Elephas maximus indicus: one gene and its partner. The protein of the gene in region 1 interacts with the protein of each later gene in a biochemical or structural test. Links are inferred from orthologs where the notes say so. Each region holds a gene or a part of one and is shown in the gene's direction. Other genes may lie near its edges. The genes, in order: NFE2L2 and ENC1.

Region 1 (10,049 bases):
AGGAACTGTTAACTCTATTCCTGGTTCTGCCAATAACTAGCTCTGTGATCATTGTAACCACTTTACCTATCTGTTTCCTCAAATATAAAATTAGAGGGTTGGACTAGATCAGGAAGGGAAAACAACTGATGATATATGCTATCACTTCCATAGCTCTGGGCCCAGGGCAGGCATTGGTAGTCAATCACTGAACTTTTTGTATCAAACTGCGCAACTGCTTCTGACTACATCTTAGCAAAGCATTGTATGTAGGTAGCCACTATCAATCAGAATTGGCAATCAAAGTGAAGCCTACTTGTCATCTCTGGGTCAGAAGACCTCTAAGGTTTCTTTTATTTCTAAATATTACTCAGAGAGAAAAATGAGAGCCTGCAGAATAGCAAATGTCAGAAGACAACTATCTTGCCAAGTCTTACCTCCCTTTTTTACTTTCAGCCTCAGAGAGTGTTATATATAGACTTTGTCTGCAAGGCCTGTCCAGGAGGATGCTCTGCTCTCCCATTCACTGCATTCTACCTTTTATTTGTCCAAAAATGAGAAGAGTTCGTTTGTTTTTTCCAATCGTAAAAATGCTTGCCATAAAAACGTGAATACAAAAAAAGTACAAAGATGAAAGTGAAAATTATCTTCTCTCTCACCCCCCATTATTAATATTTGGTAACCAGCCTTGCAGACACAGGTCTAGGCATAAGTGGTTTTCTGAACCCACGCAGCAATGTTATATATGGACCTCTTTGCAAGCACTTAGAAGCTGCATTTCTTAGGTCGCTATACGATGTGCTCTTAACATTCGGTCTTCGTCTGGGGGCTCCTATTCTGCTGAGTGAAACTTTGAAAATACAGAGGATTGAAAGAGAAATGGATCTTCAGACTGTTCTCCCAACCATATTAAAAAGGTGTGGTGAAATTCTCCAGGCTTCACTCAGGTCAAGTAAATACAGAATGGAAAGATTTACAAAGCTTGTGGTTAAAATTCAATTGGAAAATGAAATGGAGAAAAGCAAGGGCTCCTCCCTGACCCCTGGCTCCCCCACTTTTTCCCCCTCTTATTATAAAAGTAATATATGTTCATTTAGGAAAATACAGACCAGCAAAAATGAGCAAGATAAAAATCATTGCTAATGCAAATAATCAGAATAATTATGGTTGACATTTTAGAGCCCCTACTTTCCGTCTTTCTATCCTATGTTTATGTATTTATATAGATATAGATTTATATAGACATACAGCCCATAATTCAAAACCGCTGTTGTAAATCTCTGTTTTTCCCCTTTGCTCATTGTATTGCTGTTCCTGCTGGGCACTATTTCTACCACGAGGAGAATACCGCAAGGGTTAAAACTGGCTTTGTACACATATAGTTCTTCATAGCAGTAGTTTGCATAATGAGGTGTGTACACCAAGGAACCAGGGTTATGGGTGTGTTTTGAAACTAATACACCAATTATTTTGAACACTGCTGAATGGGAGTTCAGTTTATCTGCTGGGCAGGTCGCTCTTCAAGTTCAAACTCCCTGAGCAGATATTCAGCAAGCATCTGACATAACTGATATAAATGAGGTCACGCTAGGGCCAGAATCTCTATATGCATTTATACCTCCATCTACTTAATTGGTGAAGTGTCTGTGTTCTTTAATTGTATTTTGATAAAGAAAATATTTTTTATCATCTAAGTAATGGCATAGGGAGGAGTGGTAGCTCCGTGGTAGAATTCTCGTCTCGACAGTGCGCTTTAAGCACAGCCACTACCTATCTGTCAGAGGCCTGTGTGTTGCTATCATGCCAAATAGGTTTCAGCAGAGCTTCCAGACTAAGACAGTCTAGGAAGCAAAACTTGGCAATCTGCTTCTGAAAATTAGCCAATGAAAACCCTATGGGTCACAAAATTCCGATCTGCAATTGATTATGGGTATGGCACAGGAAGGACTAAGCAGCATTTTGTTGCATTGTGCGTGGGGTCGCCATGAGTCGGAGAGTCCATACAATGGCAGCTAACAACATGTAGTGGTATGGGAGCTGAAGCTTGGTGTGATGAAGTTATTCACTCTGTATGTGGCAACAGAGTTCCCGTCCTCATTTCCAGGAAGGCCAGTTAGCTTCTACCTTATCTACTGAAGCACTGTTTCTGTACTTGTGCTCCTGGTGATGGTTAAAAAAACTTAGCCAACAAAAAAGCAGCCAGAAGAAACCTGCCTTTGATATTCAGTATATGCTGTTTTGCTTATCTATTACTGCGAAACAAACCACCCTAATATTTAGTAGCTGAAAACAGTTTGCTATAGTTTCTCACAATTCTTTCGATTGACTGGTTTCAGCCAGGCAGTCTTTTCCAGGTCTTGCTTGAAGTCTCTTGTGTGGCTGCAGTTAGACAGCAGCTGAGGTTGGAGTTTTTTGGGAGCTTGACTACCAGTAAATAGTCTGGAAGGGCCAAGATGGTTTCTTCATTCACCAGATGGTGCCTTGGTTCGTGTGGCCTTTCTCCACTTGGAATCTCATCCTCCAAGGCTTCTCCCGTGGCCTCTCTCTTCATGAAGGTAGTCAAACTCTTACGTGATGGCTGACTTTCAAGAGTGGAAAATTGAAAGCTACCAGGCCTTCTTAAGGCTCAATCATGGGCCTGGCACAGTGTTACTTGCAGCCTCCTTCCATAAAGTAAAGCAAGTCACAGGGCCAGCCATGACTCAGCATTGGGGGCTGGGGGGTTACACAAGCACATCACTATCAGGAGGGGCAGTTTACTGGGTGCCGTCTTTGGAAACTAGCTACCCCCTATGCTCCAACTAAGCTGAACAAAGTAGAATTTCAACTATAATCCCAAGAGATTCTGAATATTTTTTCTGACTCAAACACTGAGTATAGCTGAGGGAAAGAGAGAAGAGGGAAGAAACCTCAAAGTAAGTGTTGGAGGATTTTGAAACAGTTGTTACTTTCTAGGGTTTTGCAAATTGGCAGATGAGAGCATGCAGAAGAAGGTAAAAATAAATGGATTAAAGCATCACCATTATCCAAATTTTGTGTACACAGAAAGCTTACTCGAGGAGAGTTTTGGAGCAAGGTACTATTCTGGCACAAACATATATGGAGGTCTGTCTTTCCAAAGTCAGTAAAGAATTCAGACATCAATGGAAATGTACAAAGATCAGTTAAATTTAAAACCAATCGGGGAAAAAATAAAATAATAAGCTAGGAGAGGTTGGCAGTGAGAAGAGCTTCTGGGTTTTTATGGAGCCTGAACAGAGGAGATAACCAGCACCTCTTTTTTCCTGCTCCCCTGGAGTTTCTCGACGTGTCCCATCTGTGCCCCATAGCATAATATATAAATTTGGGAGACAAGGCAATTTAGGGAAGGGCCCAGGCTCAAATGAAGACAATCTATCTCATTTTAGTGTCTTTAAAGACACTCTTTGATATGGGTGATCTCAGATTGAGGTTCCCTTTTCTTGCACTGAACAGCTTTCCCTTGGTGTTTATATTTCTTAAACATGTTCAGACTGTTATCATATTGTTCTCCTCCCTTTGAAAACATGTACTCTGCAGGTACCTGAAACAATACACTCCCAGAAAATTGCAGTTTTGTAAAAGTAAACGTTATTTCTATTCAGTCTAAACTCAATGGAAATTTTGTTGCTTAACAATACCAAGTACTTCATAAATTCCTTGAGGGCAACAACCATGTCATATATGATTTTTGTTATCTCCCACCTGCTGGACTCATCGTTTACCTCCGCCAATGTAGTAGTTTTAATAAGTAACTTGAATCGTTAACAATACACTCTTGTCTCCTTCTTTGATGCAGAAATTTCATTTCATTGTTATGTCTCTTCATGTTTCATGTCCAGTTCTTTGTAAATAATTTTTCCTAAGCTTCTTTTCAAAGTGCAGATCATTTTGCAGGCTTTTTACATAACCGCTGAAAGGGTTTAATTTAGGTTGAAGAAGCTTGCTTCAACTACAATTAATTAATTTAGGCTTCATTTATCTCAAGTATTTGAAGATATTAATTTACAGGTAAATCCTGTGAGTGTCAAATTATGCAACTAAGAGAAAACAGTTCTTTACAGTTTATTTGGCATCGACATGCTGTAAAAAACCAGACCTGTTGCCATCCAGTAGAATCAGACTCATAGCCATCCTATAGGACAGAGCAGAACTGCCCTCTAGGGTTTCTAAGGCTGTAATCTTTAAAGGAAGCAGACTGCCACATCTTTCTCCCGCAGGGCAGCTGGTAGGTTCTAACTGCCCATCTTTTGGTTAGCAGCCCAGCACTTAACCACTGTGCCACCAGGGCTCCTTTGATGTGCTATAGTCGGCCTTTTTTTTTTTTTTTGTGGTGAGGTTTTCGAATGAAATAGTAAAACCACAGTGGCACCACTTCACCTGGTTTTGAATAATTCCAAGAAGCTAGAAACCGAAAACCAGATTTGTTAAAGAGTTATTGTTAATACCTAAGTGAAAAAAAAAAAAATACAATTTCGCTATTTCCTTTTAAATCCTGTAAGACTTTACAATACTGCCGTTTTTAAAAACTTGGAAGTTTTCTGTAGGGAATGATTTTTAAATAATTGTTTTCTAATGGAAAAATGATATATATTCATTGTGGATTTAAAACATACTTAAAATAACCCTACCCTCCCCCCCAAACAAACAAACAAAAAACCTAACCCGTTGCAAACCAGTCGATTCCAACTCATAGTGACCCTCTGGGACAGGGTAGAACTGCCCCACAGGGTTTCCAAGGAGCGGCTGGTGGATTAGAACTGCCAACCTTTTGGTTAGCTGCCCAGCTCTTAACCACTTAGCCACCAGGGCTCCTAAAATAAAAAAGGAAGGTAAAATTCATTCATGATCCTGCAACTATTAATATTTTGGTATCCTTCCTTTTTGCTTTTCCCCTAGGCACTTTTTTTTCAAAGAACGGGCCCATTACTATACATTTTGTAACTTTGTTCTCCGCCCCCCCCCTTAACTATGTCGTGAATAAATGAAAAACTTTTACGGATTATGGCATGTTTTAGTCAAAGGACGCCATCTGTGGTGTGGTGAGTGTGCTTTGGGGAGAAGAAAAAGCTTTTGGGGAAGAGAAAGTTTTTGGTGGACAATATTGACCATTCTGAACAAATGAGACCTCTCCATTTGACCTTGGCGATGTGACCCCAGCGAGAGTGCGAGCGCGTGGGAGTAAATGGAGGGCGTTCAGGGTGACTGCGAGCACGAGTTCCCGGCGCGGTTCCCATGTCCCCTGGGAAGGGCCGACTGGGCCCAGCCCGGAAGAGAACCGAGGGCGAAAGGGCAGTTTGTGGTGTGCACACTGTGGGTCCAAGCCTGTTGCTCCCGCCCCCGGGTGGCGCCACCCTTGAGCGGTGAGTGAGATAAGCCCGGACAAGGTTCTGCAACTTCAGATCCGGGAGGCGCACCTCCGATATCCGCGCCTTTGCCTAGTCTCCGGGCGTGTTTGTTCCAAGTGTTTAAACTGTCTCAAAGCGCCCGAACCCGAAAGACCCTCTGCAAACAACTCTTTTATCTGTCGGGCGGAGGGCGCTGGTTTTATTTGCGAGGGAAGGCCAGTTGAGCGCGAGGACCGCGAAGCTAAAGGACCCCTCTTCTCTGCATCCCGCCTTCCCGCCTGCGGCCTCCCACTGGGCCCCCCAGTCCGCCGCCCTCCGCGCCCCCGGACCGCAAGCTTCTTGCGTCAGCCGGGGCGGAGGTGGGGGATTTTCCGCGGCTCTGCTCGCGCGGCCAGCGGGGGAAGGAAGGGCCCGTGCTCTTGCCCCGCCCTCGCAGGGCGGGAGGCGGAGCGGGGCAAGAGCACCGCCGGCGACTCCGGTCGGGTTGCCCAGCAGCGAGTGCCGGGGAGCCGGGAGGAGCCGCTGCCAGTGCCGCCCTGTCCGCACTTCGGCAGCCGGGACAGGGCCGCCGTCGGGGAGCCCTAGCGCACAGTCCCCAGCTCAACATGATGGATCTGGAGCTGCCGTCGCCGGAACTACCGTCCCAGCAGGTGCCGTCCCGATCCTCCGAGACCCGCGGTGGCTCCAAGACTGGGGCAGGGTCGTCAGGGGACCGCGGCCCGCTCCTCCTCCAGTCTGTGGCCAGAGTCGGAACTGCAGCGGCCGCGGACTGGAGCCGCTGCGCGTGCGCTGGAGCCGGCGGAGAGGAGGAGCGGGGACCCTAGGGGCCGGGATGGGTGTGGGGACGAGGCCGGGTGGCCAGACCGACTACGAGCCCGCGGCCCCCGAGGGGCACTGTGGGGAGAGTTTCTAAGCTGCCCCCGCGCGGGTGGGGCAGAGAACGTCACCGGCCGCACCCCGGCCGCCGAAGCTGGCACCGGGGAGCCCAAGCCGGCTCCCGGGGTGTGAGGGACGCTGAGGCGGCAGAGCAGGAGGGGGCGGACGGCCGTAGTCGGAGCCGGTCCGACCCGGCCCTTCCGCTGCTGCGCGGTTCCCCCGCCTAGGAAAAGGAGCGGGCAAAAATGTGCCTAGTCACGGGGCTGCTCTCGGGGGAGCTGAGGTCTTCGCTGGGCTGCGTTCCAGAGCCCCTCCTCTGTCGCTGCCCCTCCCCGGGTCCTGCGACCTCCGCGCCGAGGGCCTTTGCGGGGCTTGCAGACCCCACCAGGCCGTCTATGGGTTCTCGGTTACGAAATAATCAGCTGTCAATCCATGAAATCACTCTTTGGTCAGCCTTGAGCTAGAAAGCCCAGCCCCCGGGGGAGGGAGGAAGTCCTGACGGCCCGTCGTGCTTGGAGCCTCGACGTGCGGCTGCCGGGCCGAGGGAGAGGTTGGGGCTCGTGGACCTTGGGCCGGACCCTGCAGCCCCTCGAGGGAGGTGGGAGAGAGGACAGCGGACACTGAAGTCGGAGTGCGCGGCGCCCGGGGCTTCCCTTTCCGGACGAGGTGCCTCCCGGTGTTGCACGCCGCGTGCGTGGCCTCGGCCGCCTCAGCCTCCGTGACAGTGGCCGGTTGGTTGTCACGGCGGCCCTCGGTTGGCCCTTTCCTGCTTATAGCGTGCAAACCTCGCCGCGCCGGGGCCAAGGGACAAGTTGGAGCTGTTGATCTGTTGCGCAATCGTTATTTTCCCCAGAGCGGCTTTGTCTTTGGATTTAGCGTTTCAGAATTGCAATTCCAAAATGTGTAAGGCAGGATATTCTGTTCTGTGCTGTCAAGGGTAAGAGTTTCGACTGTAGATTAGAATTTCTACTGCTTTTAGGCTGCTATTCAGTTATTTGCTTTCAGCTATTATTCCCCCTTGGGTGCTTACATATTTTTCCTTTTTTGTTTGAGGATTTGCCTCAGTTTCTTAGCATGTTGCCTTTTTTTTTTGCAAGGGCAGAGGGAGGGACACTTGTGTTTCATAATGCTTTGCTCACAAGTTCTGTAAATTGTCGTAAAAGTGAAAACAAGTTTCTCTTTAAACTTTGTGGGAAAATTTAAAGGAATACGTATTTATATTTGCAGAATTTTTTGTGTGTGTAATTGGGTTTTTAGAAAAATATTTGGTTTAAGGAAATGTGTTACATGATTAAAAAGTAATAGTAAATGTGTTTATGCTTGGAAATGTGAAATTTTAGGCTGACCCTGAAGATCTAATGTAAGCTTTCAAGTTGTTGACGATGATTCATTGTGCTGTTTTTTTTTTAAGTTGTTTGTGTTGAGCTTCCCCCAGTACTGATTGGGATTGTATCCTCCAGGTTCCCACTAGTAGGAAGAAGTAAAATCCTTCCTATTTAGATGCTGTTCATTAGTAGTCTGTAGGAGCTCTTGTTTGTCCAAGGGATATATGAGCTAATGGACTTTAGTTTTCCTAAATTCAGGAATTGTAGTCTAAAGTCCTCTCTTATTTTAAAATTTTTTTCCTTTATTGTGAACTTTAACATTCCGTATATGAAAGTGCATAAAGCGCATGTACTGCTTTCCCCTTTAAAGTGAATTTTTCAGTTATGTTTGATAAAATTACTGCTTTTCCATCTTTGTAATTATAAATCAGTTTGCATATTTGAAGACTGAAAAGTAAATGGAGTTAAATTTTAGAATGGATTTCATGTCTATAGCTATGAAGTAAATTCATACAAATTACAATTTGTAGTCCAGAAAGATTTAAACAGTCAAAAGTGGATTCTGACCTTTTGTCAGAGAAACTCCAGGTGTGAAGTCATAGTGGGGATGCAGTCTTTCACTCTCTGTATGAGAGAAGGTGTTAACAGGACTTATAGCTCTATTATATAGCTCTATTAGAGGAAGGATCCATCCATTACTCTTTTCAAGGGTGTCTTGGAGAAATGAAGTACTTTTGTAGATGAGGGATGGAGTTGATCTTGGACTAGACCAATAAGGCTATTTTTAAAAGTCAAACACAAAGAAGAAAACGGGCCTCTCATCTCCTGAATTAATGTTAAGCAAAGAACGACTTGACTTTTTAGATATGTGAAAAATCTCTGAGATTGTTCAAGCAGCATGTAGGAGAATAAATGCATAACTCAGTCTTTCTGCATTAAAAATAACTTAGGCCATTATAAACTCTTTCTTGCAAACTTGAGTTCTTCTAAACAATGTAGGGGAGAAAAAAATAAACAAAAAACCCGTCTTTCTTTAGGATTACCAGGAATAGTTGAAAGTCCAATACATTACTTTTCCTAGTATTTATTTTTATTCAGGATGAATTATACTTACAAAGATGTATGTGAAAAGGGACTGTCTGTGGTCTACAAGCATATTCCCCCCCCCCCCAGGAATTTCCTCTGTCCTGAAAAAACATATTTAAAGAAGGTATTTTTTTTTTATTGCATAAATATAAATAATACTTCTTTAATTTCTTCTTGAACCTCGGTTAACGTTTCAGTGTAAACTCTTGGGTGCAGAAAGAATTTGGCACTAAGATGATAATAGTTAAGTTATTGGGCATTACCATGATGCCAGGCAGTGTGATAATTGCTTCTCATGCATAAGTTCACAGTAACTCCATGGGAATACAGTTATCTCAGATTTCCAGGTGAGGAAAGAGACAGAAAGGGAGAGAGGCCTGCTTAAAGTGACCCAGCTTATTGAGTGGCAGAGGTAGAATTTAAATGTAGGCAGTCTGTCTCCAAACCAAAAACCCATTGCCGTTGAGTTGATTCCAACTCATAGCAACCCTATAGGACAGAGTAGAACTGCTCTTTAAGGTTTCCAAGGAGCACCTGGTGGATTTGAACTGCCGAACTTTTTGGTTAACAGCTGTAGCTCTTAACCACTGTACTATCAGGGTTTCCAGTCTGTCACCTGTGGCTCTTAATCACTTCAGAACTGGACCGTGCCTTGTTGTGTGCCATCAAGTAGATTCTGACTCATAGTGACCACCCTATAGAACAGGGTAGAACTACTCCGTAGGGTTTCCTAGGCTGTAATCTTTATAGGACTAGATCACCAGGTCTTTTCTCCCTCAGAGCTGCTGGTGGGTTCAAACCACGGACCTTTCAGTTAGCAACTGAGTGTTCAACCACTGCACCCCCGTGACTCCTTGACCATGCCTTAAAAAGTGGATAAATTGAGAAAAACTGGGGGGAGGAGATACAGGAATTAAAAAGATTAATGTCTGCACCTTTTTCCAGTTACCAAGAAATTCGATAACTGGGTATGTGATGGAGGAGGTAGGCCTTGTTAGATAATACGGCTTGTCAGTGGAATTACCACACGTAGTCCTTCTAAGGAAGATATAGAGGCCTAACTGGATTTAATTTAGGGAGGCAGGACCATTTCTTAATATAATAATAGTTTTTTAAATGTCTGGAATTCAGCACTGTCCGATATTGCTTCACATTTTCCAGGGGCCATTTTTCTTTTCTTAATTAAATGTCCTAGTTACTGGCATTTTTGTTTATCTTTGTTTGCCTTGTTAGTTGGTACATTCTCCTGTTCCATTGGCTCTTTTTATTTTGAAGTAGTAATCTAAGATAAGTTTGGTAGTGAGGATATGGTGAAGAGTAGAACAAACTAAACCAAACCCATTGCGGTGGAATTGATTCCAGCTGAAAGCAACCCTGTGTGTTACAGAGTGTAACTGCTTCATAGGGTTTTCTTGGC
Region 2 (10,153 bases), on another chromosome or scaffold:
AAATTTTCTACCCCTTGAAATGTCACTTGAGGCTGTATAAGATGACAAAGTCTCAAAGGAAGAGTGAATTTCCCAGTTTTTTTTAATAACCCTTGATAGAGTTCACCACTAATGGTGGTGCTTAGCACTTAAAGGACAAAGGTACATTTTCACACAAAACTTTGCATTCAAACTCATATTCATATATATCAGCAATGAACAACTGGAACATGAAATTAAAAAAAAAACGCTATAATCCAATTTGATTCACAACATACATGTAAGGTGGTAGCATATATAATGGATGTATGTAGGAAGTGATTATAATTTTAAAGTGTGACTAAAAAAATTTCAATGACATTTTAGGAAACCAGCTATAGTTTAGAACCCTTGTTCTTCCCCAGAGTGAAAAATGATAGCTGACTTAAAAAATGCTGGTAACTTCTTCTATTGATTATCTTTTTTTTCATTGTCTTTGTCTCTTCAATAAAGAGCCAAGTTTTTTTTTTTTTTTCTTTTTTTTGGTAATTCTCCCTGTTTTTGAAAAGAAGAATGTTGCTGGCAGGAACTGAGGTCTCATTTTCCTCAGTCTGTACACCTGTGTTAGGGTGCAGACGTACTGAAGTCAGCATTGAGCTGCACCCCCAGGCCCCCCTCCGGGAATGAAGGACTTACTCCCCCAGCTGCTGGGGGTACTGCTGGCAGAAGGCACTCAGCTATCACCCTCTTCAGAACTGCCTCCCAAGAAAAGTGCCACCCTTCCTGGAGCAGCCTGCATTCAGCAACTGGTATGTGTGGCAGTATAAAGGCCTGGCCTTCTTGCCCCAACTGGGACAACTCTGCAGGGCATCCCAGCTCCAGGGCTCCCCACGGGGTCTGCTGAGGCCTTGGCCAAGACTGCATCCCAGCTCCACTTCTCCCTCTGCCCATCCTGCTCCCCTCCCTTCCCTTCCACAGGTATTGATCTCAAAACTTAAACGGACTGGGACACAGCTCCTGGCTGGGCGTCTACCTCCCAACACTACCTTGACACCACAGAAGGAGAAGCACAAATCTCTGGTGGATGACTGATCTCCACTCCAACTCCATAGGGCCCAGCCTTGAAGCCCATCCCACAAATAGCAGGAGAAAGGAAAACTGTGCCACCTCACAGATTAGACAAGTAGAGGATGCTTTTGGAGTCCTGGCAGGGAACAGGACTGAAATTTCAGTGGGGCTTCACTGGACCACAGGAGGGAGGATGGCAGCTGTGAGCCCCTGCCCACAGTTTGTTCTAATCCTCCGATCTGTCCTGTCCCTGGTACCATAAGTGCACGTGTTAATTAAATCATTCTCATTAATTCAGCCCGAGTGTAAATTAGGAAGGAATGAAGATAAATTAGGTTTGAAGGCAGCTAATACATCTAACCCCATGCTGTTTATTTTGCAGCCTAACAAAGTAACATTGTTAAGGGAGATAACAGGGCCGAAGCCTCAACAGCGTTAAAAATGAAACCTTGGTTTGGTGTCACAAGGCAAAGCCGAAGACCAACTCCCAGAGGCCTAAGGGGCTGGCCTATGTCGTGAGGTGGTGGCCATTGTACAATGTGGATGTGGCTGAATTTCCTGAGTTGTCTAATATGCAGATATCCATTATGTCTATTGTTGTCTGGCTGGATCACAGGCCTAACCAGAGATTTCCTCCTGCTCAGCTAAAAGACTGGCTCACCTTTTCTTTCCAGGAGTAAGGTCATAAGACTTACCTTTAGGGATTGGCTGAGAAATGCTGTAGGGAGAACAAATTTTAAGTTGTTATAAGTAAGCTAACTGGAAAATCACTTTCAGCTGTGAGATAAACATTAGAAACTGCCAACAGGCCCCAAAACTTTCCATGTATTTGTTCAAGCAAACCAGTGTACAGCAGGTAGGAGCTGACTGGCATTTTGAAAAATGCAAGTTCAGTTCCTATGTCTTTCAGCAGGAGTATGTTTTCTGTTTTTATAACCTACATAACTGTTTTTCCCCCTGCCTTGTGTTGACTATCTCCCTGTGGCAGATGAAGCAAATGTGTATGGTCACTGAACATATTGCAAGATTTTCCAGGCTACAGCTTTTTTTTTTTTTTTTTTTTTTAAATCACAGAAATGTGGCAACATTAGGACAAACTGACACCAGAAAGTGAAATCAGTAGATGATGACACATGGCCAGAGAGCTTCGTACCTTTTTCAGCCCTGCCTGCTTAGCAAAGCTCTTCGCAAAACCAATGAACTTTATTGACCCACGGTTAAGGACGTTCTGCAGTTTCCAGGTGGTAACGATGGTAAAGAATTCCAGAACACTTAACTGTGCTCATGAGGAACCTGTACATAGACCTAGAGGCATTCGTTTGAACAGAAAAAGGCGATACTGGGTGGTTTAAAATGAGAAAAGGTGCGCGTCAAGGCTGTATCCTTTCACCATACTTATTCAATCTGTATGCTGAGCAAATAATATGAGAAGCTGGACTATATGAAAAAAAACAGCATCAGGATTGGAGGAACACTAATTAACAACCTGCAGTATGCAGATGACACAACCTTGCTTCTTGTGATATGCAGATGACACAACCTTGTTTGCTGAAAGTGAAGAGGACTTGAAGCACTTACTGATGAAGATCAAAGACCATACAGCCTTCAGTATGGATTGCGTCTCACCATAAAAAGAAAACAAAAAATCCTCACAAATGGACCAATAAGCAACATCATGATAAATGGAGAAACTACTGAAATTGTCAAGGATGTCATTTTATTGGGCTCCACAATCAACGCCCATGAAAGCAGCAGTCATGAAATCAAGGAACAGATTGCATTGGGCAAATATGCTGCAAAAGCCCTCTTTAAAGTGTGTCATGGATTGAATTGTGTCCACCAAAAATATGTGTATCAAAATTGGCTAGGTCATGATTCCTAGTATTGTATGATTATCTACCATTTCATCATCTGATGTGATCTCCCTATACGTTGTAAATCCCATCACTATGATGGAATAAGATGGATTAGCAGCAGTTATATCGATAAGATCTACAAGATTAGATAGTGTCTTAAGCCAATCTCTTTCGAGATGTAAAAGAGAGAAGCAAGCAGAGAGACAGGGGGACCCATATCACCAAGAAAGCAGTGCCGGAAGCAGAACACATCCTTTGGACCTGAGGTTCCTGTGCTGAGATGCTCCCAGACCATGGGAAGACTGATAACAAGGACCTTCCTCCAGAGCCGACAGAGACAGAAAGCCTTGCCTTGGAGCTGGTGCCCTGAATTTGGACTTCTAGCCTACTGGACTGTGAGAGAATAAACTTCTCTTTGTTAAAGCCATCCATTTGTGGTATTTCTGTTATAGCAGCACTAGATGTCTAAGACAAAATGTTAAAAAGCAAAGATATCACTTTGAGGATTAAGGTGTGCCTGACCCAAGCCATGGTATTTTCAATCATCTCATATGCATGTGAAAGCTAGGCAATGAATAAGGACGACTGAAGAAGAATTGATGCCTTTGAAATATGGTGTTGGTGAAGAATATTGAATATACCATGGACTGCCAGAAGAAGGAACAAATCTGTCTTGGAAGAAGTACAGCCAGAATGCTCCTTAGAAGAGAGGATGGTGAGACTTTGTCTCACTTACTTTGTACATGGTTATCAAGAGGGACTGGTACCTGGAGAAGGACATCATGGTAGGTAAAGTAGAGGGTCAGAGAAAAAGAGAAAGACCCTCAATGAGATGGACTGACACAGTGGTTGCAACAATGGGCTCAAACATAACAAGGATTGTCAGGATGCTCAGGACTGGGCAGTATCTCGGTTCTGTTGTACACAGGGTCACTGTGAGTCGGAACCGACAGGACAGCACCAGACAACAGCAACAAAGATGCAACAGACACAGTTTATCTGTTCCTAGCTAGGTGGCTTCATGCAGCAACGTCCTCAATCAATTCACTGTGCTATTTACATATTTCAGGTAGATTTTGGTAGGGTCTCCTAGGTAGACTTCTAGGTAGAACTGACTGAAGGAAAAAGGAAGTACTTTTCCATAATGAGGAAAAGTGTTAATCTCTTAAACAGAAAATTTCCCCAGTGAAAAACATTAACATTTGGTCTTCAAAACTAAAGTGCTTGCTTTAGACTGGAAACAGTGACAATATATGTCTAGGAGGCAGCCTTGATCAGGTTTCCCCCACACCTGGCCACAGGCTACAGAAACATGTTTTAAAAGGACATACATGCAATAGCTACACATTTCCACCTCCCATCTTTTCAGCACCTATTCCTGGTGTGCACAGTGTCTCTACCCGTTTGGTCTTCGCTGATTTTTCCCGTCTCCTGCAGGAACACAGCTCTGCTTGCGGCACTGTCCTCTTCGCCTAGCAGCCCCCAGAACCACCGCACCAAGACTTGAGGGGGGCCGACTCTGGCTTTGTTAAGCAGTTGGGAGCCGAAACTCTGCATTAAAAAATTGAAATACATGGGGAAGTCAGCACAACTTCACCAAGGCAAGGGCATGGAAGCTTTACAGACACATCCAAACTCCCTGAGGGACAGAATTACTGGCCTGAGGGCTGTGGGGACCATGGTCTTGGGGAACATCTAGCTCAACTGGCATAACATAGTTTATAAAGAAAATGTAACAGGCCACATCTACCACAGCCTCCACCAGACTGAATCCAGCACAACTAGATGGTGCCCAGCTACCACCACCAACTGCTCTGACAGGGATCACAATAGAGGGTCCCGGACAGAGCTGGGGAAAAATGTAGAACAAAATCCTAACTCACCAAAAAAAAAAAAAAAGAGGACCAGACTTACTGGTGTAACAGAAACTGGAGAAATCCCCAAGAGTATGGCCCCTGGACACTCCTTTCGCTGAGTAATGAACTCACTTCTGAGGTTCACCCTTCAGCCAAAGATTAGACAGACCCATAAAACAAACAAAACGAGACTAAATGGGCAGCGGCAAAGACTAGAAGGCAAGAGGGGACAGGAAAGCCGGTAAGGGGGAACACAAGGTACAGAAGGCGAAAGCGTTGACATGTGGTGAGGTTGGCAACCAACGTCACAAAACAATATGTGCATTATTTAATGAGAACTACTTTGTTCTATAAACCTTCACCCACAGTACAAGAAAAATATGAAATATGTCACAGATTTGTAAAGACTCCTCTGGTGAGGTGAGGGTTTTGAACTGGTTTGTTCCAGTTCAAGGCCCTGTTGAGAATTTGCATTTCTAACAAATTCCCAGGTAATGCGAATGCTGCTGGTTAGGGACCAATTCTGAGAACCAAGAGTAGTACGGCCGTGCTTCTCAAAATTTATCATAGAAAAGAACCACCTGGAGCTCTTGTTAAAATGTAGATTCTGATTCAGTATATCTGGGTGGAAAGACAAATCCTCAGTAGGGGTTCCTACCGGATTGAACCGACTGGAAGCCCTGAGGAATGCTGCCCAGTTAATGCTAACAAAGGACTTCAGAGGGCACTGTCTTTCTTTGTTTGCAAAGAGGGAAACTCTCGGCACGGAAAAACCAGGAGGGAATGCGGGTAGAGGAAAGTGGGGTTAGAATAAAAAACTGACAAGAGTCAGAGTCTTGGTTTCAGCCCTCCCTGGACCCTCGTAGCGCCAAGTGGGACCTCCTTAGCCTGTTTGAGCCATTTCTGTACCAAGAGTTTTAAAGAAAGCTCGGATACAGGTCAGAGAAAACTCCGATGCGGCAGCCTCACTCGAGCTCCAGGGCTGGGCCACTGCTAAACTGCTGCGTGGCCAGGAGCCAGGCAATTCACATCTCCCTGGACTTCAGTTTCCTCAACTGTAAAAGGAGGGGGTTGGACCGGTAATCTCTATGGTTCATTCATACGCTTTATTGCAAATACTGAAGAAAAAGCAAACAGGCGTTTTAACTCCCAGTGGAAATACGAGTCCTAACTGCAAAGATAAAAAATGGAATTCGTAAATGGTTATCGCCGAGCGAGATTATTTTTGAGTTGCCTTCCTTCCTCTTGGCAGGCCGGCGGCGCTTTAAACATGCGTGCTGGGCCTTTTTTTTTTTTTGTACTGAACTCCAGAGTAACACCACAGAGCAATAAAATATGGGAAAGATCCAGCCTGAGAGGACTCAGGCATTATTGCCATGGAAAGAGGCGGTGAGGCCACTCCTTTGAGGAGATCGCTTTGAATCATGCGACCAAGGCGATTGGCTGCGAAGCACGTGGTGCGCGTCCCACGGGACCATGCCGGGGCTGCTGGTGCTCCGGGGCGGCGTAGGGGCAGAGTCCGGCTCCGGGTGCTGCACCCGCCGGGGGCGAGGCGCGAGGGGGGAGGGGAGGGAGGACCCATGTAAAACGCCTGGGGCGCAAGTCTGTCTGGCCCCCTGCCAGCTAGAAACCGTAAGTCCCGTCTTACCCAACCTGCAGTGTCCCCGGAGTGTCCAAACTTGTGCCCCTTCCCTCGCCACTGTCCCTCCTCCGGGTGCCCTACGGGTGGGCTGTGCGCGTCCAGGGCGCGTGCCGCAGACACCCAGTTCTCCCCTCATCACCCTTTCTGGAGTAGGTCGCCGGCTCTGGCCGCGCTGAACGCACAGCCCCAGGTTGCGCTCCCCTGCGTTGAGTCCCTCAGCTCTGGGGCTAGCCATTAACCGGGCTGGCCCAGAGAGGCACAGACACTCCGACCCAAAACAACTTGGTTTATTCGCCGTCCCAGAGGGTTTGCAGCTGCTAGTGGCCGAGACACCGCGTCCGCTTTGTCTTCTCCACTTCTACGCAGCCCCCTTTCCCCCTCCCCACTTCCTCTCTCGATTAACTCCCCCGACACGCTCTTCCCCATCTCCTTTCCTCCTCCTCCTCCTCCTGCCCCGCTAATGCGCTTCCTCCCCTCCCCCGGTGTCACTCTGTTTGCATACGCGCCCCCTCCCTCCTTTCCCTCCCTTCTTCTCCCCTCCTCTCTCCCCTCCCCGCCGCCGCTGCCCCCGCGGCGTTTATAGCCGGGCGCACGGCGGCCCGGCGCAGACTGCTCGGGCAGCCAGAGAGCGGTAGGCTCACGGCGGTGCCGCTGGGATCGAGCCCAGACGCCAGGCGGCTGCCGGCGCGCACGGCGCTTTCTAGCTCCCTCCCCAGAGCACACAGCCCGCTTCCTTTCCGGGCGGCTGCTGCCGCAAGCTCGCTCTACCCTCCCGAGTTAAGATCCGGGAGACGCTTCGCGGGTCGCGGGTCGCGGGCACAGGGTCCGTGGAGCGGGGACCGCGAGGCCGAGGCGAACCGCCAGCAGTGGGCGGCCCCGCGAGCTAGCGTCCCCAGAGCGGTCCTCTACCGGGCCGGCGCCCCATGCGCGCTCCTTCCGCAGTCGCTGCCGCTCCCCGGGTCTGAGACGCCCACTTCGTCGCCTCCCTGCGCCGGTCGCCGAGGCCAGAACAAGCCGGCTGTGCGCGGAGGCCAGCTGCCACCGCTGTAAGTTTCTCCCCACTGCTCCGGACCTGTTGCCGGAGCGGCGGGCTTTGCAGGGGCTGCTTGAGCTGCGGGGGTGTGTTCGCGAGGGGCGTGCTCGCATGGGGTGTGCGGGCGCCCAGGAGCCGCGAGCTGCGTGTTGGGGGAAGCCCTTGCTGGTGCAGAGACCTGGGTGCACGCCGCTGCCCTTCCACAGGAAGCAGGAGCCGGGCATCGCCGGAGGGGCCGACAGGGCTCCCTTTGGCAGCGCAGCGCCGGGGCAAGCTGCGGGGGGAACGAGGAACGCAGGCAGTGTAGGATCAGCTTCTTTGCTCCGCCGAAAGCAGCGCTTCCCTGTGGGTGTTTGTCGCTCTGCCTCGCTCCCCGCAGCCTCCAGGGCCGAGCGCTCTGGGTTTCGTGGCCCACGTTGCACCCTAGCCGGCTCGAGGGAGGGTTGGGGCTACGCTCACACCCCACGGACGGGCACGTTCATGCGGTGAAATGTCTGTAAGTAGTGGATGAAACCTGGTTCTGAAAAACTAGTTTCTTCTCATGCAAGTATTTGGCCTGTAGTGTAACACTATTAATTTCAAAGGATAGTGATTGGTGGGCGGTGTGGAGGTGAAACATTGAACTTGTTCGACATGTAATTTGCTGTTGCCCTCGCAGGCATGGCCAGCATGTTGCAAGTGGACTGTATGGGAAAATGCTTTTCTTGTTAAGATCCTTATAATATTGTTCCATTGTCGTAAATGATGTAAATGCCATAGAAAATCTGTCGAGTTTCTTCTTCGAATTGAGATCAGAGTGAATATTGAAGGGACGCGATGGGATGCTTAAGTATTGGAGGCAGAGGGCGTGTGTAAGGAGCGTTAAGTGAACTGAAGTTACTGTAACTAGGCACACTTTTGATGTCGACGGTAATAGCCTTTTTCAGGGTCTTCTTTGTAGTCACACGTTAAGTATACGTGTGCATTTTCTCAGCCACTTACTTGGCATGCAAATATTATTTCTCTGGGGGCTTAAAAAATGCCAGAGGATGATTCATTTTTTTAGTGACTGCGTAAATGGTCTCTGCTGATGTTTTGATGTTTGCGCGATTTGAAAGCAAGTCGTTTTCCATGGGTCTCTAAGTTTACCTTTTATTTTAATCAAACATCACTGCAAGAATGTTAGATTTCAATTGTGGCACGGTTTCTGTCTGGATGGTATCCAAGATGACAGGCTAGGTCCTTCCTTCTGGCTTTATGTGCCAATCTGGAAAATGCAGAGAGATGCAGATAGTTTCTATTCCTATTCCTAAAGTCTTCTAAACAAACATTTTCTTAAGCGTAGGTCTGGTTGTGAATGCTGCTTTCTTCTGCCCCAAGTCAAATGTGTCCTGGGCGGCAGGGTGATGCTAGCTCAATGCGCAAGCACTTTGGTACTTGCGCACCTGGTTGCAGCAGAGCCCCGTTCTTCCACCAGAGCTACATTTACTATTAGCCTAACAGGATGCAGCTTTTGAGGTTGCTTGGAAACACCAAACTTGCATAGCTACTCATTTCAAGGTTTTGTTAAGTTTCTGTGTTGGGCATTGGAGTATTTATACAGTCTTTTGAGGTTTAGCCTTGAAACCTTTCTCAAAGAACATACTACTGGATGCATTAATTAAAATGACAGCTACAGTGATGGAACATGAGGGATGCTAATACATGTCTTAACTCTTTGGAAGCCTGGTACATTCACTTCGGTTTGTACAGGTCATTCACTGGAATATTGATCATGGATTGAAATGAACTTGGCAGTGGAGGCTTAGTTTGAGATGGGGACCATGTTTGATTCCTAACCATTTTTCATATCCCAAGTCACTGTGGAGAGACTCAAGCATACCGGGGTGCTTTGTAAAGCTTTCCAAATGCCAGAGCTGGAGGACTTTCTTGTTTGCCTTCTTGCAGTAAGCTGTGTTTACTCATAATGAGAAGTTACATTCTAAAAATTAAAGTAAACAAGCTGTATCACCTAATGTTATGTGGCAGTGTGTCAGAGCCATGTAAAGCACTCAGCTTTGTTATTTTCTGTGTCTGCCAAGGCTGATCAAGAGAAGTGCAGTTTGGTATCTTAGCGCAAGAATTTGTGGTTAATCACTCAGTTGTGTTTATTAACATGTCTAGAATATAAATCAAATAATACATATCCGGATGCTAAAGGAAACACTGAGGCCATCAGTTTCAGCTCGGTTATGAGGACTGGCTGTTCTGGGATTGGAACAGATACTGTATCCATGTAGTTTCCACTTCTGGGATAAACAACTTACTTGACAGGCTGGCTTTTGAGGGCTTTATTCCTTTGGAGTAACAGAGGGGTAGTGTAAAAAGGACCTGAGGTTCAGTTTTTGAAGATAAACAATAGGGAAAGGTAAGGGTAACATTTCCTGTATTTTTACCTTGTAGTTTCTTTACCGAAGAAAATAAAAAAATAGCACTAGATTTTGGTATAATTTCATTTTATTTATTGAAGAAAGCATTTTAGTCAGAAAATTCAGGGGTGGCCCTAATTTAACAAATGTAGTAGGCCAAGTATATTATGCATACACGTGTATATATACATATGTGTGTATGCGTATATATTTTTTAACTTTAGTAAAGCAGTGTTTGAGCTTTGAACTCCTCATACACAGGTACCAGCATTTGCAGATATACGAGAACAGTCCAGGCAGTGGACCATTTAAGCAAAAGAGAGGGGTGGATAGCTCCTTTGTTCTTGCAACTG

What was found.
Region 2: the proteins of NFE2L2 (region 1) and ENC1 form a complex in vitro, tested with the Homo sapiens proteins (2 studies listed by BioGRID). The link is inferred for Elephas maximus indicus from reciprocal best matches to the Homo sapiens genes NFE2L2 and ENC1.

Annotation. Positions count from the first base shown.
Region 1 is NC_064824.1:75,429,550-75,439,598, reverse strand, and holds the start of NFE2L2 (nuclear factor erythroid 2-related factor 2), read left to right. Parts: upstream 1-5,401; 5' UTR 5,402-5,950; coding exon 5,951-5,995; intron 5,996-6,001; exon of another isoform or gene 6,002-6,819; intron 6,820-6,825; exon of another isoform or gene 6,826-7,158; intron 7,159-10,049.
Region 2 is NC_064820.1:79,160,405-79,170,557, reverse strand, and holds the start of ENC1 (ectoderm-neural cortex protein 1), read left to right. Parts: upstream 1-6,302; 5' UTR 6,303-6,370; intron 6,371-6,747; exon of another isoform or gene 6,748-7,426; intron 7,427-10,153. UniProt on the Homo sapiens protein: Actin-binding protein involved in the regulation of neuronal process formation and in differentiation of neural crest cells.